Macaca fascicularis: one gene and its partners. The protein of the gene in region 4 interacts with the protein of the main gene of each other region in a pairwise test. Links are inferred from orthologs where the notes say so. Each region holds a gene or a part of one and is shown on either strand. Other genes may lie near its edges.

Evidence for each region.
Region 1: the proteins of RBPMS (region 4) and keratin-associated protein 19-5 interact in binary tests that used the Homo sapiens proteins (3 or more experiments, as listed by UniProt). The two-hybrid records come from large-scale screens. The link is inferred for Macaca fascicularis from reciprocal best matches to the Homo sapiens genes RBPMS and KRTAP19-5.
Region 2: the proteins of RBPMS (region 4) and NEU4 interact in a two-hybrid assay, tested with the Homo sapiens proteins (2 studies listed by BioGRID and IntAct). The two-hybrid records come from large-scale screens. The link is inferred for Macaca fascicularis from reciprocal best matches to the Homo sapiens genes RBPMS and NEU4.
Region 3: the proteins of RBPMS (region 4) and RHOBTB3 interact in binary tests that used the Homo sapiens proteins (3 or more experiments, as listed by UniProt). The two-hybrid records come from large-scale screens. The link is inferred for Macaca fascicularis from reciprocal best matches to the Homo sapiens genes RBPMS and RHOBTB3.
Region 5: the proteins of RBPMS (region 4) and CSN3 interact in binary tests that used the Homo sapiens proteins (3 or more experiments, as listed by UniProt). The two-hybrid records come from large-scale screens. The link is inferred for Macaca fascicularis from reciprocal best matches to the Homo sapiens genes RBPMS and CSN3.

Annotation. Positions count from the first base shown.
Region 1 is NC_088377.1:16,491,322-16,494,492, reverse strand, and holds keratin-associated protein 19-5, read right to left. Parts: upstream 1,221-3,171; 5' UTR 1,170-1,220; coding exon 951-1,169; 3' UTR 739-950; downstream 1-738. UniProt on the Homo sapiens protein: In the hair cortex, hair keratin intermediate filaments are embedded in an interfilamentous matrix, consisting of hair keratin-associated proteins (KRTAP), which are essential for the formation of a rigid and resistant hair shaft through their extensive disulfide bond cross-linking with abundant cysteine residues of hair keratins.
Region 2 is NC_088386.1:137,746,687-137,751,608, reverse strand, and holds the start of NEU4 (sialidase-4), read right to left. Parts: upstream 3,039-4,922; 5' UTR 3,006-3,038; coding exon 2,973-3,005; intron 2,540-2,972; exon of another isoform or gene 2,370-2,539; intron 1,852-2,369; exon of another isoform or gene 1,267-1,851; intron 356-1,266; coding exon 149-355; intron 1-148. UniProt on the Homo sapiens protein: Exo-alpha-sialidase that catalyzes the hydrolytic cleavage of the terminal sialic acid (N-acetylneuraminic acid, Neu5Ac) of a glycan moiety in the catabolism of glycolipids, glycoproteins and oligosacharides.
Region 3 is NC_088380.1:99,720,516-99,725,716, reverse strand, and holds the start of RHOBTB3 (rho-related BTB domain-containing protein 3), read right to left. Parts: upstream 3,039-5,201; 5' UTR 2,692-3,038; coding exon 2,690-2,691; intron 2,514-2,689; coding exon 2,288-2,513; intron 1-2,287. UniProt on the Homo sapiens protein: Rab9-regulated ATPase required for endosome to Golgi transport. Involved in transport vesicle docking at the Golgi complex, possibly by participating in release M6PRBP1/TIP47 from vesicles to permit their efficient docking and fusion at the Golgi.
Region 4 is NC_088382.1:33,745,506-33,749,990, reverse strand, and holds the end of RBPMS (RNA-binding protein with multiple splicing), read right to left. Parts: intron 3,399-4,485; coding exon 3,268-3,398; coding exon of another isoform or gene 3,121-3,267; exon of another isoform or gene 2,268-3,120; intron 651-2,267; coding exon 519-650; 3' UTR 431-518; downstream 1-430.
Region 5 is NC_088379.1:63,740,454-63,745,644, forward strand, and holds the start of CSN3 (kappa-casein), read right to left. Parts: upstream 3,039-5,191; coding exon 2,985-3,038; intron 34-2,984; coding exon 1-33. UniProt on the Homo sapiens protein: Kappa-casein stabilizes micelle formation, preventing casein precipitation in milk.

The sequences.
Region 1 (3,171 bases), on a different chromosome or scaffold from region 4:
ACGGCACAGTAGTCCAAAGAAAAAAGATTCTTTTTAATTGAGTGTTATGGTTTTAATTTGTGCATGTACAGCTTACTTTGGACAACATGGGCTTGGACTGAGTGAATCCACTCATACTCAGATTTTGTTCTACCTCTGCCACTCCTGAGACAGCAAGACCAACGTCCCCCTTCCTCCTCTTCCGCCTCCTCCTCAACCTATCCAATGTGAAGACAATGAGGATAAAGACCTGAATGATGAGCTGCTTCCACTTGACAAACAGTAAATATAAATTCTCTTCCTTACTATTTTAATAACATTTTCTTTTCTCTTATTTACTTTATTGTAAGAATACAGTGTATAATGCATATAAAATACAAAGTATGTGTTAATCAACTGTTTATGTTATCAGTGAGACTTCCAGTCAACAGTTGGCTACCAGTAGTTAGGTGTCTGGAGAGTCAAAAGTTATATGTGGATTTTCAACTGCATGGAGGAATCAGTACCCCAACCCCTACATTATTCAAGGGTCAACTGTGACCTTTGAATGCGGATATATACATGCACACACATACATACAGCTATATAGATAGGTGCATGTATATACAAAATTATTTTATTATATATAATATACTTCTATATGTATATAGTTTGTTCTTTTTTCACTGGATATAATTATAAATAACCACTTTGCCATTTTGAGTCAAGCAAAAAATAAAAGCCATGTATTTGCTTTAAGTCAACATACTTTATTCCAAAAGGAAGAGAGAAGCCCCACAGCTATAAAGGTACAAGTAAGACACATCCAGAGACATAAAGCAAAGAATTATGGAATGATAGGTATTCTTAAAACTCTCAGATGCTAAGTGCTCTTGATCTCGGCTTGATCCAGGGTGACCTCGTCCTTTTGTTATTGCAGTCAGGTTTGGGTGATCTTATGGCCTCTCATGTTAGGTTGTCAGGGAAGGATTTCAGTAAAATCCAGAGAATCCATATCCTCCGTAGAATGACGGGCGGCAGCTGCGGTATCCATAGCCCCCGAAGCCAGAGCCGTATCCATAGCCTCCATAGCCACAGCCATAGCCCAGTCTGCGGAAGCCGCCACATCCACAGCCATAGCCATAGCCCAGGTCATCGAAGCCTCCATAGCCGTAGCCCAGGCCTCCATAGTAGTTGCCGTAGTAGTTCATGGTGTCAGGAGTGGTGAGTTGGTTTGCTGCTCAAGGCAAGATCCTCAGTGTAAATGCCAGCATGTGTAAGAGGCTTATATACCCTGGTCAGAGCATGTGATGAGTCATCTGTATACCCTCCTTTGCTGTAGTTATTTGTATTACGTTTGATGTTACAACTCATTTATCTATTGTCTTCTCATGCAGGGAGAGGCCCTCATTCTCATTAAAATATTTCAGCTTACTTAATGTCTTATTCAGGACACGATTGAACTTACTGCTTTGCTTTTATGAGAAGAAATGGCTGACTGTTCAAAATATGCACATCCCAAATGCTCAACAGAATTGCCTATTACCAGGTGTATTACATCATCTACACTTTATGGTATTTCTTTTATAATGAATCATTTCCTTTGTCCATCATCTTCCAAACTGATAACTTCATATTCAACTGAATTTACAGCTATTTTTTCAATTTACAGATGTTAAATCTGTAGTTTTAAAAAGCAAACTTATTTATCAAGGTGAAGTCTTCAGAAAATGCCTATATTCACAATACAGGAAAACATTTGAAATCAAAATGATTTTAATGCCCTGCTGTGTACAATAGCCAAACGACTCAAAAAAAGCATATGTTGATTTTTAGCATTTTATTCACAATAACTTTTATACTATTTTTGGCTTTGTATACCAGCTTCAGAACCTTTTGGTTGCAAAATATGTAAGAATTAATTTCAGAAATTGAGGGCACAAAATCCATCTCCTATGCAGGCTTATCAGAGCGGTAGTTCAGTTTTCCATTCAAGTCCTAACACTCGCCTTTATAATTGGTTTTATTCAAAGTCCTAGTAAAATTGCAGATTGCATCTGCCTCTGTTTTGCACACTCCAGTCAATTTCTTTCTTTATCCTTTTTCAGTAGTATATATATGACCTCTATTTCCATTCTCATCAGCTTTCATTTTTCTTCCCATTTTCTCAACATCTATAGAAACAGCCAGGTAGAAGTTTATTGCATACATTTCCCCAACCCCCTCTGCCTTCCATCCACTTTTCTCAATGCTTTTTTTTCTACCTCTTCTTTGTATTCACTATAACGTCTTTCCTGATGTTCTTCTATGTCTATCCTGTGCTCATTTATTCTGAGGTAATTTCTAACCACTGCCTACTGATCTGTTCATTGAAGTATCTGTTCATTAAATATCATTAAAGATCTGTTCATCTGTTCATTAAAGTATCATTTTTAAAACTTTCTATTTTTTGTACTTACTGAACATCCTCAACTCCCCACCCCAGCAAAAATACTTAGAAATAATGAATAAGACCTACTATTAGATAGCACAATAGGGTGACTATAGTCAATAACAACTTAATTGTACATTTTAAAAGGTCTTGAGTATAATTAGACTGTTGGTAACTCAAAGGATAAATACTTTAGGGGATGGATTTTAAAAAATTTCCTCCAACTCCTATGGCTTTCTGAAATGTTAAAAGGGTATCCTAAAACTGAAATTCTCTTCAAAGTTTTCAAAATAAAGGCGCCATGGTGAAATGACACAGAATAGAGAAACATATGTAAAGAAATTTGCCCTGGGCTTCATAGAGTTCCTCAGCTGACTTCGTTGAGTTAGTGAAACAGATACAACGTTGAGCCTACTCTTGATTAATCTCCATGCAGCACCTGTCTCTTGGCTTTGACAACTAAAAGTTTATTTAATTTACATGACTTGGAACATGCTGTTGAGTTTTTGTGAGATTTATAAGTATTTTATCAAAGACAAATTTCCTAAAAGGGATGCTTCAGTTCTTCTAAGCAATAGACTAGGGAATTAAAAACTGTTTATTGAAGAAATTCTAAGTAAATTGACAGTAACTACCACAGCAAGCACAATCTGTGCACAACTCTGACTACGCCTTAGTGAGCTACCTTTTTAAGACAGAAAAATAGCTCAATAAGTCTTTCAATTTGTAGAGTAGGATTTAATTCAACATTTTCTCCATTTCTTTTAACCACATCTTCGTTC
Region 2 (4,922 bases), on a different chromosome or scaffold from region 4:
GGATGTCCAGGGACCTGGGCACAGCCCCCCGTGGGGCACCCGAGACAGCTGAGCCTGGTTTGCTCATCTCTATCTCGGGCACCCGCCTGCCACCGCCACCCCCGCCCCTGTCCCTGGGTGTGCAGCCCCAGTGGGCCCGGCCACTCACCCGCACGGAGCCCCCGGCCCGCGTGCCCCTCCTCAGCACCAGGCGGTGGGCATGGGAGTCGTCGGGGCTGAGCCGCTGCTCCACAAAGGCCAGCAGGGTGGGCCCAGGGGGCACAGGGAGCAGCGAGGGCACGCGGTAGGTCAGGCCGGTCCTCTCCCGCTCAAAGAGCACTGTCCGTGAAGGGGTATGAGGGGCCCCCATGCTCTGCTGGTCAGTACAGGGCCACAGGTCAGCAAGGCAGGCCCAGGGAGTCCCACACTCGCTCCTCCTCTGGATTGGGGAAGGGGCTCAGGAGGTGCAGACAGCTCCTGCCCACACCTAGGGCTCTTCCTGTACCCACCTTGGGGTCAGGCCTGTTTCTGACTCCCTCACCCCAGATCTGGAGCAGCCCCTCCCCAGTCCACCCTCACAACCCCTGTACCCCAAATGTCTATGGAATCAGACCTTCCCCTCTCAACACGGCTCTGGGAGTTGACCCTCGGCCAGGCTAGTTGGTGCGGAGGTGCAGGGGAGGCTGGCCGGAGAGCCCCGGGACCCTGCCAGCCATGTGCCCAGGACACAGGGTCATCCCGGAATTCACCCAGCAGGAGGTCATGTGGACAATCAGGACCCAAAACCTCAAGCAAGGAGAGGCTCAGTGTCCCCAGAATAGAGGCCACAGCAAACAGAGACACAAAGAGGTGAGCTCACAGGGACTGCTGGGAGCCATGGGGACAGGGGACCCACTCCCACTTCCTGAACGTCATCGGGTCACCCATAGCCAGGGATCCTGCAGGGGACAGGTGCTCGGCGGTCAGACCCCTGCCTGCAGGGCAGCTGGCCCCATAGTGCCCCCACCCCACTGCCTGGTGCTTTGCACCTGCAGGCCCTGACCTGAGAAGCACCCACAGGAATCAGAAGCCCCAAAGCTGAGTGGGGCTCCCAGACAACACCCACCAGGGCAGGGGCCGGGTGAGCGGGCATTTGGGGCACATATGGGGTCTGCTTGCTGCAGGCGGGACCTGCCTGGGGGTCTCTCTGTCTGACCGCACAAATCCAGGCCGGGCCGTGCGTGAGCACGCACAGCCCGGCACGGGGAGGTGGCGCAGCTGCAGACAGGTGGGAACGCTGGTACCCACCGTGCAGGACTCGGAGCGGTCAGAGCCACGGCCAGTCACCCAGGCTGGGCACACGGGGCACCTGGATGGGAGGCTAAGGGGAGGAGGGAGGAGGGAGATGGCTGGATGCTGAGCACCGCACCTGGCCAGGGCACAACGCCTGCCTACAACGGGGACCCACGCACACTCACGAGTCAGGTGGGACCGATGGAGACCCAGGTAAAGGCGCAACACTCGTGCAAAACCCGGGCAGGCCTTGCCCCTACACCTGAGGCCCGAACAGACAGCTCCACCTCCAGCCACCTCTGCCCTGGGCCGCCGGTTCCTGAAAGGCTCTTGGCTAGGACAGCTGGCCGGCCCCTTCCTGCTGCTCCCCCACCACCAGTGTGCGGCTTCTGAGAGCAGCTTCCTGTCCCCAAGAAGCCCCTGGCTCTGCTCTCAAAGGGCAATTGTGCCCAAGCGGGAAGCAGGTGCAGACGCCACGTGTCCCTCTGGGCTGAGCAGGCACAAGCAAGACATTCTCTCGGCACTTGGCTCCCTCCCCAAGGCCCGGGCCACAGGAGCCGGCGTCAGCACCCCCTGCAGACATGAGGCCCAGGCCCGCTCCTGGGGACAGAGAGGGAGGGAAGGAGGCTCCAGAAACCAGCTGGTCACTCCCCTCGTTGCACAGAGGGGAAACTGAGGCCCACAGAGAGGACAAGGCTGCCACACACTTGGCTTGGGGTATCCTTGCCACAGCCAGGCCCTGAGTTCCACAGAGCCTCTGTGTCCTCAGCAGGCCCCTCCGTCTCAGAGGCCAGCCCTGCTCAGTGCGGCCAGTTCAGCATGTTTCAGAGGTTTGGCTTGACTGGGACGGCTGTGTCCTGGACATTAACCAGTGCCCCCGCCCTCCCTGACAGGGCCCTTCTCAGGGCTGTGGAGTCACAGAAGGGAAAACCAAGGCCTAGGGGAGATGGGACCTCCAGGAGAACCTGGCCTTCTGGCCCCTGGACCCCTGGACCGGTTGTAGGGTTCACTCTGGCTTGGCAGGGGGCCATCACAGACCCCCCACCCCCACCCCTCGCAGCCCATCCTGTGTGGGCCCCCCTAGAGCCCTGAGGTCAGCCCAGGCCCTCCGCACACACCCTCTGGAGTCAGCACTTCTTGTCCTGGGACCCGTCAGGTGTAGGAACACCTTGGCGAGGGGCAGTCACATGCGCCCACGTAAAGTGCAGAGGCCAAAGCTTTGCGCAGGATCCCGGCGGGGGCCCTCGGCGGCTCTGACCCTCAGCCTGCGCTGTGAACGTCCTGTGCCCTGGCCAGGGTGAAGACTCCAGCCACAGACCCTTCACCTGGCAGAGCATCCCCGACCAGCCCATCTGCAGAACGACCCTGTGGGCTGGCGCCGGCCCCCTGCATTGGGCCTCTCACAATCCGTCTGCCTCCATCCCATGCCCTGAATCTGCCCCCAGGAACCCTCAGTGTCACACCCACCCTGTGGGCCAGGAAACTGTCCCATTGGGAGACGCGTGTGGGACCTCTTGTTGGAGGGGCCCTCGGAATCCATGCAGCCCGCCCCTTGTTTGAGAGCTGAGGAGCCACCCTGGGGTTGGCAAGCGGTGGGACTCATCCAGCACCCCCAGACAGAGGAGCCGGCCAGCGGGACAGATCCCTCAGGAGCGGGTCCTGGCCCCGAGCACCAGGGTAGAGGGGTGAGGGCACTGGGGGTGCCAAGGGCAGGGACTCACCGGCCACCTCGGGAAGGCTGCAGAGCTCATCATGGGTGGCTGCCTCGCCTGACCCAGAGCAGAGACAAGGGCCCACTGTGCGGGCAGCAGGCCAGGGAGCTGGCCACGTCCCAGGGCTACGTCAGGACCCTGGACACTCCCACGGTGGCACAGCTCCACTGAAGCCCAGAGCGGGGCCAGGGGTGCAGATGGGCACCCACGAGCCACACAGATGCCTGGGGCCAGCACAGGCTCCCCTCTGCAGGTCGACACGCTCAACACTGGGGTGCTGAGGACACAGGGATGTGCCCTCCAACAAGGGCTGTGGTGAGGCCACAGTGGACCTCCCAGGGAGACACAGGGGTCTGCTGCTCAAGAGATGCAGCCCTGGCAGGAGGGCTCCGTGAGTGCACACTCTCTTCCGGGCTTCCTGGGTGTGGGGCCTCCCCTGGCACAGCACAGCCCCTCACAGCACAGGACAGTGGCCCCTGGAGCCTTGCTGGGCTCCAGCTCCGTATCTGTGCTTCTGGTAGGCCAGCACCCCATCACCATGTCCTGTGCCTCTCAGGGCCCAGGGTGACCCCTCCCCAGCACAGCTGCCCCTGCAGGACTCCTGCCAGCCCCATTCATGCTGGCCTGACCCCGGCCTGCCATTTTGGAGGCAGCCTTGGTAACCGATGCTCAAATGACCACTGCCCAGGCCAGAATCTCAGAGGAGGCCACAGGTCCCCAGTGCGCTCTGATGGGGCAGCCTCTACGGGGGCTCCCTGGGCCCTGAACACCCTCCCTTCTCACTGTCCCTCCCTCCCCTGCGAGGGGCGTCCTCAACTGCTTCTGAAACCTGGGGGGCTGTGGTGGGAAACAGGGAGGTCATGTGGTTTCCAGGCTGAGATTATAAACCTGCTGCGTCCCTCCAGGTCTTGGAGCCTGAGGGGATTTACTGGGGGGAGCTGGGAGGGGGCCGGGGAGGATGTGGGAGAGAAGGAAGTGGGAGGAGTGGGCCCCAGCTCCTTCCGACTCATCTGCACGCCCCCCGTGGGCCACGTGACCCCCGTGGGCCGCTCACCAGTGCCCTGTGCACTCACAACCCCCAGAGGGGCGTACCGAGTCCAGGCAACTTGGCCGTTGTACACATCCTCCTGCTCACAGCCAAGAATACTGGGGCAGGTGGGTGGGAAGGGACAACCTCCCCACCTCTCAGAAGCCCCACCCCAGCCCAACCAGAACTGGGTGGCCCATCTCCCTTCTCCTGTGCCCCAAGTCTGGGCCTGGTGGAGTCTGACCAGGGCCATCCCCTAAGCACCCAGGCTCATAGGGAAACGGGGCCTCCAAGCCCCCACGTCACCTTGCAAAGCCCCCTCCTGGGCCACCCTGAGACAGAGGCTGGGTCTGGAGCAGGGCTGTCTGACCAGGGTGTGCCCACAGAGCTGGGATGGGGGGCAGGCCTCACTCCCTCTGCTTGAGGCTTTTCAAGCCCACTTTTTTCAATCTAGAGATTTCACAGAAAAGCCCGTGTTTTCAGCTTCTCCTGAAAAGCCAGATTTGCCCTCAGGTGCCACCTCCTTCCCCTGGGCATCTCTGCCTGGACAAGCCACCGTCTACCTGGGGTATATGCCAGCCACGGGTCCCACCACCCCCAACTGTCACCCCGTGGCCCATGGCTGCTCAGAGGTCCCTGGGCACATCTGAGGCTCTGTCCCTGTGGGATGAAAGCCACCGGGAGGAAGCTTTCCTTAACTGCCTTCGTGAGCTCTGGCAGCCGAGGGGCCACGTGACCCCAGCATCACACGGAAGGCTGGGACGTGCCCCCTCCCCAAAAGCAGTTTCGGCCACACTGTGTTCCCCCTTTCATGGCTGCACGATGTGGCGGCATTTTAACCGCCCCTTCTCAATGCACAACCCGGACAGGCTGTTCTCAACACTCTACTGCAAACCACACACCATTTTACGTCGCCAGAAAGACCCCAAATT
Region 3 (5,201 bases), on a different chromosome or scaffold from region 4:
AGTTCCAGGATTTCCTCTAGGGGGTTATGCAACACAAGGCTTGGAGCCACATTTGGAGAATTGAACTCATCTTTAAAAAAAAAAATCTGAATTTCTACAGTGAAACTATTTTATTTTACTTGAATGTGGGGCTGCATGTATGAAGAATGAACATCGCTGCCCCAGTGTACTGGTACTGTAGTTGTATACATCTTGAATGACCTGCGAAAATCTTACTTTTGCTTAGTATTAATACAAGTGATACATAACTATACTAAAGTTATAACAAACACTTTATTTTTATATTAGCTACCACTTATAGAGCAGCTACTAAATGTCAGCCTCTATACTTAGAACGTGATGCGTGCTAGTTTCTCATTCACTTCTCAGCACAGCTCTAGGAGGCAGATTATTTTATAGATAGGGAAAATAAGGCTGAGAAGGTAAGTGATTTAACAAGGACACGCAGACCTGAAATGGCAATGTGAGAATCTGAAATCAGATCCTTTTGATATCAAAGGCTGTGCTTTATCTGCTCTATGTAATATTCTGATTCCGTAATATATCAAATAACAGTTTATTAATGCAATCAGCTTTAGTATCTCTGATGGGCTTTACTTACCACCAAGTGAAGAAAAGCACCTTATAAAGAGCAACTCTAGAAATGGAATCTCATATCTGAAGATCATTATAGCCCAGCAAATTGTACCGGGTTACAAACTTGGTGCCTTAAATAGGGCCAGAGTCTAACCAAACAAAAAGTGATTAGCAAAATAAACCATAACAACCAGCATATGGGAAAAATCCGTACCATAGAGGCTTATTTTCTCCATTTGGAAGATTTCATTTTACTAGACAAAGTGTATGGGATCACAAGCATTGCTGTTTGCAAAATTAACAATATAAACAGGAAAGTGTTAACAGCTCAAATTAAATATAGGGAAAGCAATCCTAACATCCTAATGTAGCTAATTTTATTTTCCCTACGTTTACTCTATTCACCAAACATTTGTTCAACTGCATGTTGAACCGTTATGTTTTTAGGCTGTAAGATCTTTCACGACGAAAGAGTCCAAGTAAAAGAAGTGTTTCATTTGCCTGCATAGACTCTGGTCAGTAAGCTCTCCATCACACTTCTTATGACCAGCGTCATCACTGTCATAACTAGGGGTTTAATAGCATCTCTTAACTGAAAAGGTCTGTTTTTTATTTTACCAAATTAACAAACTTTCTTCTTTAACTGAAAACTTACACAAGCGAGTGATCTTCTTTCTGTTACATGGAATTTTGCATAAAAAATTTTTCCAAGTACACTCTACACATTTTTTAGAAAGGCATGATAGTTTCCTATAGCCCTGATTCAGTTTTTAAAATTGCTGTTTAAATGTGAAATCTCACACAATGACAATTCGTATTTTTTCAGGCACTAAACTTTCTTCTGTTATTAAATGTAAACTTAGCTGAAACATACGTAACTCCAATATCAGTAAAGAGTCAGAGATTTTCAAATAAGACCAAAGGAAAACATTCAAACATAATGTTATTGTATACTGAAAATACTTATATGTGTCAGAAAGTAAATTCCTTTCTCCCTTAATCAAACACTCAAGAATCGGGCTACAATTTATCCACTTCACTACAATTTTGTTCAATTATTACAAATTTTAATTTTTTAAGTTTTCCAAGCAACATTAGTAATATTATTTCTGATTTATGAGTCACTAAGACAAATGGCTAATACATAAAGAGTATTTGCATTATTAAAATTAAAAGTTTTCAGAGATCAATTAATAGTGCTATAAATGAGTCATTTAAAATTAACTCCCAGTCCCTGTCTTTTCCTCCGCTTTCCAGAGGAACTATTTCTGAACTGTCCCAATGAAAAGTATTTTTGCCTGTGTTGAGCTTTGAGAAGGCTATATTTTTAGAACACCAATATTACACTATCACCCATAGGGTAGGCATAAAAAAACACTGCTTTCTGCTGGTGAAACTTAGTGACCCCGTCCCTTGGAGTTGGCACATTCAACTGTCAGCTGCCTCCCAAGGGACAACCCACAGTCGTGAAGTGTACCAGTAAGTGCTCCACATTCCCACTGGGGCCTTCTATCTTCCTAAGAGTCTTCTCTGACGGGGCTGTGCCCTGCCCAGTGAAACAAAGGACCGAATATTTTCTCAAAAATGTTTGAAAATTTGACCCATGTAACGCGAACACTCCACACTCACGGAAGTGGGCAGAAGGGGGAGGGGGCAAAAAAGGAAAGAAAAGCTTCTTCAGCCTTGGCGTGGAGCAGCTGCTGTTCCTTACCCAGACGGGACAGTCGTGGACCACCAGTTTGACATTCCCAAACGCACTGGCCTGATACTCGGTGAACACTGGACGCGCGACCGTGCTGGCCGCGTTCAGCAACAAGCTGCTCTCGTCCCCCGAGACCAGAGGGCTTCTCCCCAGGTAAGTGCGGATGAGACCCGACGGCCGGTTGTCCTGGTGGAACGCGTCCCCCTCGTTCCCCAGCGCCACGATGTGGATGGACCTGCACGGACAGAGAGGGGGCGAGGGGAGAAGGGAAGCACGGTCAGCGCGCGGGTCTCTCTTCGGAACAGGAAGTGCGGGGGACAGCGCGCGGCTAGGATGGGCACCAGCCCCCGTCCCTGGGGCGCACGGCACGCGCTGGAGAGAGACAATGGCAGGACGGCGGCGCGTACGTACATGATCTCAAATCCAAGGGCAGGGCGGCGACTCGGAGAAAAGCAGCGGCTTACGGCCTCGCGGGGCCCCCGGGCGGCGAGTTCACCCGCAATCCGCTCATCCCCGGCCGCGTCCCTCTCGCGCGCCTCCACCGCGGCGGGGCCGACGCAGAGCGGGGCCGGGGCCGCGCCAGCCAGCAAGCGAGCCGGACACCAGGGTGGGCTAGCGGGCGGGGGGCAAGCTGCTGCTACTCAGAGACTGCCCGGGAACATCGCCGGGCGCGGGACTGCCGCGCAGCCCCGAGTGGACGCAGCTGACCGCAGTCCCCTCTCCGCCGCGCCTCCTCGGCTGGCAGCTATCGCCTCCTGCTGCTGCTGCTGCCGCTGCTCCTCCTCCTCTAGGCAGAGAAGGGGGGTCGGGGAGATCGGGGCCTCCGCCCCCTCGGCGGACCGGGCGAAGCACGTGCCGGCCCCGGGGGTCGGGCGGACACAGGGAACGCGCTCCCCGCCGAGGCCCCGGAGCTCCCGCGGCGGCGGCCGGACACAAAGGAGTGGCCCGCGCGGGGCGCCGCGGAATATAAATTAATAAATACAACGCCCCAGCCCGAGAGCTCCCGACCGCCAATCCGCCTGCAGCAAGTTTGTTCAACTCGCAAGGCCGTAACCAGAGCCAGGAAAGGGGGGTGGGGCGATGGGGCCCCCGCTCACTCCGGACTGGAAAAAGGAGGTTAGGGAAGCTAGGGATTCCAGCACGAGTGCCGCCCCAGCAACCCGATTTTCCCCCCTCTTGGCTTTGACCGAAAGTGCTTTACCACGACTGCCGCTTTGTCATTTGTCAACATGCGCTACTGCTGTTTTCTAAAATCATACTTGTGAGAAAAAATAAAGGCAACATTCATGCCGCTGCAGAAAGGGTTCTTTGTTCGCACACCAATTAATTTGCTAATGTCGCCTTGGGGGGATTATTTACTATTTCGAGCTATATTTAGCGTATTTTAGCGAAAACTTCAGGATTTTAAATGCTGGGATTTTTAGTGTGATCGTTTTTAAAGGAAGTTATGTATGGGGGTTTAATGTGTTGGTGAGTTAAATGCTAGTTTACTTGAAGATTTTTCTGTACACATTATGGACACATTTAATAATAGCTCCGCAGACCAACTGAAAACATAATCATGTAAATGCAAAGATACTTTAGATTCTTTCATAATAATGCACTGAAGTAAAGGCTATGAATATCCCTAGCGTGCTTCAAACTACCTCAATACAAACGAACACTGGGATCCACTTACTAACACCAAAATGGGCCAGGGATTACTCTGGGGTTAGACGCCTCCATACAGTATTAAAATTCTAACCAGTACCTTACTCCGTGTTAAAAAGAGTTCTTGCTTATCCTTTTATCTATTTATTTTTCCCTTCTGTAAAATTGGACTGTTTCTTTTCTCAACTGAGCTATTTTGAGGGTATGAAAGAAGGGGTATTGAGTAGGGTAGTAAAAAACTAGGGTAACAGCTTTTTATTATGGGCCCTTATTGCTCGGTTAAAAGTAGTTTAGTAGTTTCTCGTGCTCAGAGAAGATATAATAGCAGACATTCTTTATGTGGTCACTAATTTTTTTAAATCTAATTTCCCTTTGCATTTTCTATGATTTCTCTTTTAGTCTCTAGAACCTAAACCATCCTTAAAAATTCCAGCATTCAGGATCACTTTTTCTCTTGGGTTAATGGAAAATATATTTTCTCATCAGTCTCTTCCAGAAACCCATAAGTCAAAAACAAAGACACTAGAATGGATGAATGGATAAAGAAAATGTGGTATACACATGTAATGGACAATTAGCCTTTAAAAAAGCAGAAAATTCCTTCATAAACTACAACATGGATGAACCTTGAGGACCTTGTGCTACGTGGAATCAGCCAGTTGCAAATCACAAAAAGTGATTCCATTTATAGGAGGTATCTAAAGTAGTCAAACTCTTAGAAACAGAAAGTAGAATAACAGTTACCAGGGGCTGGGGAGAGGGGAAAAGGGGTCGTTGTTCAACAGGTATAGTGTTTCAGGTTTGCAGGAAGAAAAAGATATAGATATCTGTTGCATGAGGTGCATCCGTAGTTCATACTATACTGAACTATAGGACTGAACACTAGAACATTATTAACTAAACACTAGAACATGTACTGAACACTAGAACATGATTAACGTGGTAAATATTGTTATATTTTATGACAATATAAAAATATTAATACAAAAATGAAACAAAAAAAGACACCAAAGTTGCTGACAACTGGGAAGTGTCAGAAAGGGGGAAAGTATTCATTTTTTCCTTCGTTACTGAATATGTGAGCCAAGCCTGTGCTGGGTAGGCATGGGAGATCCCAAGATACATAAGACTTGGTCATTGACCAAGGCAATTTGTTACCAGAAAGGGGTCCCAATCCCGACTCCAAAAGAGAGTTCTTGGACCTCCAGTGAGGAATTCAGGGAGTCCATAAAGTGAAAGCAAGTTGATTAAGAAAATAAAGGAATAAAATAAT
Region 4 (4,485 bases):
GTACCAGACCACAGCTGAAGCCGGGGCAGAGCTAGAAATGTGACTCAACTTCTTTTCAATGACACTTTGTCTCCTGGTCTTCCTTCCTGTGGATCCCAGTGGGCAGACTGGACACTGCACCCGTACATTTCACAAGGGCTCCCCTAGCTAGATGCAGCATCCCTGCTGAAGTGAGGTCTCCTGGTGGATGAGATGCTTCCAACATGCAGCTCTTGGTGGCTCTTCCGGGAGCCCAGGCAGAGAGAAGCAGCAGTGGTGTGACCTCGGCTCCGGGACCTGGCCTCTCCAGCAAGCTCGTTCTGAGTCCTTCTATGTAAAATAGACTTGGTGTCACAGGCCCAATTCTCCCAAAACCTCAGTCAGAGAGTAACACCTTTGCTCCAACATTGCATCACCATGAAAACAAAACGCTGCAGTCTACTTGAGATCATTTTTGCTCTGATTAAAATTTTTATTGAAATCTCTCAAAGGTCGTCAAGAAATAGTTTTTGCGAAAGGGGGGAAGATAGCTAACAAATTCAACATGGGAGCTCCCTCTGCTGGTCTGCAGTAGGTTGGTATGTTACAAACACATTCCCAGAGACAAATCTAATTTGCTGGAGAAGTGGACAAAAGACAGGTGTGTTGGGCTTTGCCTCAGGAGAGAAACACTAGAAGAAAAAAAAAATCCATGTCTCAAAATAGAGCATAACATTGCTAAGAAAAACAAAATTATTTAAAGCCTCTCCAAAGACATTATAAGATTTCCAAAACAAAAACTGAATTATCCAATATGGGGAGATGCCCCGTAAAGGCTCCAGTCTGCTCTACCTCCAGTTAATAAAGATTCTCTTGGGCCCTTTGGGTGAAGGTTAAGTGCTGATTCCCTTTGCTTTGCCTCCAAGTCTCTTCTTACAGGCTTCCCATCTACTTAGAGAAGAAAGATCCAAGGAGTCACTGGAGTGAGGCCTTTCCAAAATTCCATTAAAGAATAAGTCTGTGGTGAGCCAACACCTCGGAGTGGAAAGAGTCAGGCCTGGGAGGCAGGTGACCTGGGTCTAGTCATGGCAGAGCCACAGATTGTGGGCAGCTCCCTCCATCTTCTCAGGCCTGTTTCCTCATCTGTCAAATGGGTCAGACCAGCTGATCTGTAGAGCCTCTACTAGCTCATTCTGATTCTCATACTGCACAAATAAATTTAAATAACGGAATGTGTTCACAGAGTCCATGCCTGCACTGGGAATGACTCCAAACAAGAAGTGGCGTTGAAAACTGGTATCAGATGAGAGTCCCACCAAATCTGGGACCGATGTGGCAGAGCTAAGTGGATTCCAGTTTGGGAAAGTCTCAAGATCAAGAACTCCCAGGGGAGGGTGCCACCATGGGCAATACAACCCATTAAGTCAAATGGCTGAGTCCATCTAATCTTGGCACTGTCTCTCCCCATCCTTCCTTACAATGGCATGTGCTTTCTAATCTCTTGAGACTCTTTAGGCCCTTCTCTTACCATACCGTATCTCCAGAATTACTTCTGATTTTACCCATTACATGAATGAAGAATGGGCAGATGTCATATCCAAAAGCCACCATTCCCAGTACTTTCTGGCCGTTGTCAACTCTTGATATGGCTATTCAGAAGACTATGCAAACCACTGTTTCACGGTATTTATTAACATTTGCCTTAACTGCCACGTGATCTGTACCCGGCAGTCTAGCAAGAGGAGACACCATCCAGAGCAGGGGTGGGAGGTGGCAAGCAAAAGGGGCTCTTAGTTGTCCCATGTCATCCACACATTTATCCGCAGCCTGCTACAAAGATCCTAATGACTCAGCAGAGAAACCCACAGGTTTACATTTTATCCCCTCACCCCGTTACCTGCCAGTTGTGAGGGTTCTCAAGCATTGACATGGAAAAAGGAAGAAAAAGCAGCAGGGGAAGGAGAAGCCAAAGGCACAAGTAATCCTGGCTCCTTTATTTTCTGTGCCATGTACTCTCACCACCACCACCACCTACATTTTTTTCTTCACTACTTGTACTACTTTCTCCCTTCTTCTCCCAACACAGAGGGCAATCATTACTGGGGCTCAGGCACCAAAGGCAGCCCAGGAAGCCGGGTCGTCAATGCACGCACAATGTGTTGGTAACTCAGCGAAAAGAATTAAAAGATGTTCAGCCAACAACAATCTTGACCCCATGACTTTCGAGAACCCTCACCGAGGGCTGCTTCTAGGTGGTCTTTATCAAGACAGTGAATTCTGTACAACATAAAAGAGTTTTAAGTCAGAAGGAAGTTTTCTGGGAAGCTGTTTATTTCATCCAGCCTTGAAAACAAACACTGAGCAAAACAAGCAAATGAAAACTCTGCCTGTCCAGCCTAATCATTTTTGAAAATCTAAAATTTAAAGGCTGAATTACACATGCAGAAAGATAAATGAAACCTACATACGTACTTTCTATTTGTTACTGGTCATCAATCTTTGCAGGCCAAAGAATGAGTGATCTCCAAAGGTGAATCTTTACACTGATTACTACTACTTGCGCTAAAAGCACAGCTAAGAGAATATTTTCTCCAAGGGGAGAGGAAGTGTTAGTATGTAGATAGTAACCTTTGTGGAGAAACAGGAAGTTTGTTTATAAAAATCAGGCTATTTTTAACTAAGAAAGCAAGCTGGTCAGAATAGAGATCTCTACCTTGACCTGTAATTCCATCTTAGACACTATCCTGTACCTCCTTTTCTACAGGGTTTCCTGAAAATGGAGAAAAGGAACCCTTAATCTTTCCTGTAACATATTTAAGAAAGTATAGCCTTCGCCCATGGAAGCTTTCCCTTTGGTCAGAGATTCTTCTCACAGTACACGAGAGTGGAAAACTCTCAACACACAGAAACACGCACAGACGCACATATCCCCTGCTCCCAGCACACACCTTCCTCTGTAGCCCTTCCACACAAGGCACACACGTGTACGCTCCGGTGATGCCCTCTAGCTAGCTGGGAGCCAAGTGGATAAACTTGCCCCAGTCTCTCATGTGCGATATGAGGTGAGATCATTAAGGAAGAGAGAGGTGTCATTTGGGGCAAACATCAGGCAGTGGGTGATATCATTGCTGTCAGACGATCCTCGTAAGTCCTGAAGGAGTGTCAGCTTGATTTAGAGGGGATCATTAATCTCTTGAAGGTGGATCTGTTAGCTGGATAGGTGTTAGTTGTATGGTGTGCTCTGGGGAACCAAGTTTGAAAGGACTGGAGGTGGAGTGAGTGAAGTCGTGGCCGATGGGTATCAATTACCTGGGCATGCAGTGAAGCGGGATAGGTGAAAGCAGGAGGAGGTAGAGCAGGCGCTAACTCCGCTGGGTACAGAGGGTACGGGGCCCACACTTCAGGGCTACTGGGGTAAAGTGCAGGCACTGTGAGCTCATCTGCAAGAAAAGAATAAGGCGAGAGTTAGTGGTTACCAAACAGCTAGTTTCAAATCAGAAAACAAAACACCCAAAAACCCCGAGCCCCAATCAATGTCAGAAGCCAAATGACTCTCATTCTTTTCACAACCTGTTGTTTGTTGGCTTTGGTCCCATAAGTGCTAAGCAAGGAACGAAAAATATAACAAGAAAAGTAACAAGCATCTGCTGTCTGTCTGGCCTGCTGAGATCTCAGGCCTGGACTCCGCCTTGAACACTCTGATGTCTTTCCAACTGTAGCTGGGGAACCCAAAACAGTGGGAATTTCCTGCACAAAACAGAAAATGTGGCCCTCTGAGGAAAAGGGAGAGAAAGAACCAATGAAAGATATCCCATGAGAACCCACCGCAGAGCCTTTGGGAAAACAATGGCCTAACGGCAGGGCCTCAACAGACCAGAACTGGAAGGCTTTTCTGTTTATTGGCATAATTACTATTGACAAGTCAGTCATGATCATCAAGCATTTTCCATGTAGCCCCCAGAAGTACAGGGCCAAATACTGTGACCACAGGGCATTTAAGATCTTAAAAATTCAGAGAATTGAGGTGAAAAACCTTGAGAATCCTGATTAAAATTACACTCCACAAAGATGTAAACATTTCCAGTTGCTCTTTACAGACTAACTTTTAGGGGGAAAAAGTGAGTCATGTTGCCAAGCGCCTGGTCTAAGTGTTCCTCAGGCAGCTCCAATTCCACCCAGGTCAGGCTGCAGTTGGCCCGATTGAAGGGCAAGTGCCTGGGCCTCCTATGTATCAGGAAGCAATCCATTAAAAGTAACAGCAAACACATGAGGGAGCTTCTCAGGAAAGGCAAAAATAACATCAGTCAATAGCAAGGAATCTGGGCCCTGTGAAGCAGCAATCTCAAGATGTGCTTTTATCACCTGTCAAAATCTGAAATCAAGTATGCCAAGGACGCTATCCAGGACTGCCACGGGAGTCAGCAAAAGGTGATTTGATAGTCATTAGTAACTCTGCCATTCAGGACTTTCCCTAAGTCTACAGTGCATGTGACCCAAGGTCAACAGAGTCACTTTATTCCTTCCCAC
Region 5 (5,191 bases), on a different chromosome or scaffold from region 4:
TGCTGGTTGTTTCTGGTTTTGAACCTCTGCAGCCTAGGGAGTTCCAGAAGAAGTAAGAAAAAAAAAAGGAAGACTTAAATCAGTTAAATAAAATTTTGCGTTAAAGGCAAAATATGTTTTTTTTTTATTTTTTAAAACATTTTTCATGATTGATCTATGAGGCTTGTTGGACTACTTAAGAAGCAACAGTAGTGTAACTGATTAGTAATAATAAACTTCATGTTTATATTGTCTTTAAATATAACCACCTAGAATGAAAAAGTCACTGTGGGAAAAATCTATTCATCTGACCGCTGTGCCAGCAAATACACAATACACTTAAATGAAAAGTATGAATAATTTCTATTCAGTTTTTATTAAATATACATTGTTAAAAATTAGAGGAGTATTGAGCCTTTTTTCCTTTCTCTGCTCTCATACTAAGATGATTCATAAGGTTTACTTAGATGATTTAAAATATTGCCTCTTGCATAACCTTAACATATAAATATGTGTTTTAAATACCATCTTTCATTTGTTTTTATAGTGCTTTTCTTAGTTTTGAATTGTGACATATTTAGAGAATCAGGAGTGAGAACACAATTTTATGGACATGTATTTATAAAACTAAAAACTCCAAAGCTTTTAGAAACTTTTGAAAGGAGGTATAATATTAAATAGTTTTAAATTGGCAGTTCTGGTTTAGGACATGTTTTTACACATGTATTCGTTGGGTATAAAATGACTCTAGAAACCTTTTGGAAGGTGTGAGTATAGAAAATCAGAAATTTGAGAAGGTAATAAAGTTTCCTTGCTTTAAGACAAAGACTTGCTTTTCTTTAAATATATTAAATCATTGGTTTAAAATGTAAAGAAGTAATATGAGTCTGGGCATGGTGTCTCACTGTGTAATCCCAGCACCTTGGGAGGCAGAGGTGGGTGGATCATCTGAGGTCAGGAGTTCAAGACCAGCTTGGCCAACATGGTGAAACCCTGCCTCTACTAAAAATACAAAAATAAACTGGGCATGGTGGCGGGAGCTTGTAGTCCCAGCTACTCAGGAGGCTGAGGCAGGAGAATTGCTTGATCCTGGGAGGCAGAGGTTGCAGTAAGCCAAGATCGTACCACTGCACTCCAGCCTGGGTGACAGAGTGAGACTCTGTCTCAAAAAAAAAAAAAAAAAAAAAAAAAAAGAAGTAATATGAATATTATAGAAAGTATACTTTAAAAAATTCTGACAATCTGGATACCTTAATGCAATATCAACCTATGCTATGTATTCCTGGTATATGCTTGTCTAAAAAGTATCCTGCGTTTTTATAAGAAATGTGGTATCTCATTTTTTTAAATTTATATCATAGGTTTCATACCTACATTTTTATAGTTGATAACTAAGTTGTCAATGATTATGTCATGAAATGTTTATTTCTTATTGTTATCTATTAAGATAAAATTTTAATTATAAACAGACAGATGATTAACATCTGTATACCAGTGGCCTTTTTAATAATTTTCATTAATACCTTAAAAAGATTTTTCACAAATGTCATTAGTTTTCAGCGATTCTTTGATAGAAATTATCAAATTGTGGTACAGAAAATTTGTGCCAAATTAAAATGTCACCAATAGGCTATGTATTTATGCAGTTTAGTACATAATTGCTAGTAAAATATTATCTAACTCTTTTCATTTTGGGCGAAGGGATAAAATAGTACATAAAAGATGGTATCACATTGATGTTTTAATTTGTATAAATTTGACTGCTCATAAGATTGAATGGTAAAAATCAATAAACTTAAATTATTTTTTTCTGTATATTTGTTCATGTCCCTGAGGCCTGAAGCCTTTGTGAAAATGGGAAGGAATGTTTGAAAGACAAATCTGGCTCAGGTAGCTCAGGAACAGGTTGCTATGCAGCAGGGATTTGTGGATCATTTTATGATTTAAACTTTAAGCCCTATTACTCAAAGAGAAAACCTAACTTCTAAATGTTCAGGTGGCCACAAAGTATCTGAGTTGTAGAACTCAAAGTTTTAAAAGGTAATTTTGACTCCAAGAATTGACCTAATAGAGTTAATAGACATGTTATACATAGGCACAACATGCAGATAATAGAATTAATTAATAGATGTTAACTTAAAAGCAAGTCTAAACTTAATAATAAATAAATATTACAGAGATTTACAGAACAAGGACTAGTGCTCCCCAAAATTTTACAATCCAGGAGGTGGACATATACCATTATTATGCTTGCCTCCTTTGTGAGTGCCTAGAATCCCCAGATGAACATGAAAATAAAAAGAGGCAATAGCCAAAACAACAATAAAAACAAGTCAAAAAATTAAAAGACAAAAACAGAACTTTTTCTAGGTCCAGTAGCCTTAAAACATTGCACATAATTCAAGATAATGCCTGCAAACCTTCAAGCTGTTTATGGCCACGGATCCCTGGAAAGGGGTCAGTCAATTGACATAATGGAGAAGAATGTAGCAAAAGATAATGATTCGAATATTAAAGGCAGAAGTATCAAGGTCTTTGAAACTTGTGAAAAAGCTTAACCAAAGTTGACCTTTGAAGGATTTTGTTTCCATAAAGACATTGGAGTCTGGGTGAGATACGAACTTAATTAAAATAATTTCTGATTCCCGGACTATGATTTCTGTAGTTATTCTTTCTGAATTATCTTTAATGCATTTATAATTTTAAAATGTTTTCAGTATTGTTTTCCCCACAGAATGTATTTTCTCTATAGTATGAGAATTTTAAAAGTTTCCTATATATGATTAACTATGATTTCTTAATTCACAGAACTAAATGGATATCCAAAAGAACATGACTTTGATTTTATAATAGAAATAATATTTAAAAAATTAACCTTAAATATAACAAGTTTGTAGATATTTTGGTCTATGAGGTATAACTGTATTAAGAAATTTGAATAGTTAGAGCCCTTAAATAAAAATTTCTTAAAGTCAGTACAAACTGGTTAGATGAAATTAACTTACCAAAAAAGGCAGGGTTAATGCCAGGACATTCACAACTAGAAGAAAACTCTTCATTATTGCACCTAAAGATACATTTAAAAAATTAATTTAGAATAATTTGTTACTAGAATTTTAGGAGTGACTTGAATACAATGTTTGCTTTGATTAAGAAAAAAAGCCAGATTTACAAGTAGATTTAGCCAATGTGGAAAAATTTATTTTAACAAAAGAATGTAAAAACTCAAACTTGGAGTAAAAAAATTTCTGAATTTAATTTTTGACAGCATTAATGGAATTATAAAATTATCATTACTATGTCAAATGTTAAGATTATCAAGGTAAATATGATGCAATGAGTAGCATCAATTTTAGGAAGAGTGTTGAAATATACACGAATAACTGTAAGAGGGAAAAAAGTAGAAAATGCCACAAAAGTGGTTTTCTACTAAAAAAGTTTCAGTTAAGAGAAGCAGCAGTCTTTGTGTGGGAAAATGACATACAGGCGAGGCTTGCCTATGCAGGGTTTAATAGGGAGAGAAGTATTTCAAGTAGAGGAGAAAGTCTTGAGAATCACCATGAACATTTGATTGGAATCTTGTATGAGAAGAGAAATACAAGATTGGAAGGAAAGTTTAGAGCAGAAAAAGTAAACACCTTTAAGTTAATGATGGGTGAAAAAGCTAGGCATGGCTTTATAAACAACAGAAAACAATTGATTGTTTTCGGACTAGAAAGTGTATGACTATACATTTTTTGGAGGACTGAGTTCTAGACCAGAGTTCTCTACCTCTGTAACTTTGATCAAGTGATTTCCCTTTCCTGGGCTTTACATTTTTTTACCTGTAAAACTAGGGTTTGAACTTAGAGATTTCTAAAATTCTGTAATTCCATGATCAATCCAACAGAAGTATGTAGGATGGAACGGGAAGTGGAGGGTTATGAAACTGTTTCCTTTATAACATGCTTCTCTAATAATCATAACCGATATGATTAACTCGAGTGTTTTAATAGGAAATATAGAGATGATACAGTGGCTTTGACTAAAATATTTAAAGAAATAAATTAACCTTATTTTTCTAAAAGAGTATATACAGTGTCATACCTTCTTATTTGATTTTTAATAAATCATCTTTTTAGACAATAATAATATATGATACCTCAAACTTTTTATATTTAAGTATATATTATGTTTAGGAAGTAATTACTAACTTCATCTTGTTGCAGCTATTGTTATTGATATACTCATATAAACTTAAATCACCACAAACTTGAACTTTACAAAAAAGATTCACAGAATTAAAGTCTCAGATAGGGGATAGAAAGCACATTGTACTCCATTAGCGTCTGATTCTCAGGCAATAATGATTAGGAAGGCTGTCTACTGAAGTGACTTCAAAACTGCCCATACGATGTCATCCAATTTCCATTCGATGGAACTCATTTGTAATCAATTTGAACAATCTAAGAAAACTGGTATTTCTTTAAGTGGGATGAAGCTCCTTATTAATGCTTCACTTGCTAGTGATCTTTTAGGATTATAGACTGAAAATATTTTCATGATGAATCACAGACCCCTTATCAATTCACACAGTAAAATGATATGTAAACAAAAGAAAATATTCTATAAAATGATAGTAATTTGTTTTTGGCACAAACAAAAATTACAGAGATAAGACCATACTTTGCATATCAGCTACATTTGCATTTGCCCTCATCACTTGGTAAGAAGAAATAGTTTGTGAAATGGTAGAGTTATACAGCTTTCATGAGTATTTGAAAGGCATGTTTTAAAAAAATAATTATTCCATAACACATAAAATTATGACTTTTATAGAAATAAAATTTGAAAGTTATTAAGGGATCAATTGCGATTATTATCATGAGTCCAACTTCCTGAGGAATTAACTCTCAACGTTTGTTTGTAGGAATATGTTAAACGCCTTTTTTGTTCGGAATTCACAATGTCTACTATGATTTAGCTGGTGTCAGAATTCGACTGGAACCCAGATTAAAGTTAAAAATAAATTTGATCATAACACCATTCAGAACTTAGGTTTAGGTTAGAAATTAATTTTAAAGTGATGCTAGGTCATATTCAAGCTTAACAATAACTAAAAGGAAGAAAATGTGATTCTGAAATAACTATGGTGATGTCCCAACTAACTACTGTGAAAATAATCACTTTCTTTTCTCAGGTGTTTCAGCAGCATTACCTTTCCTCGTGCCAG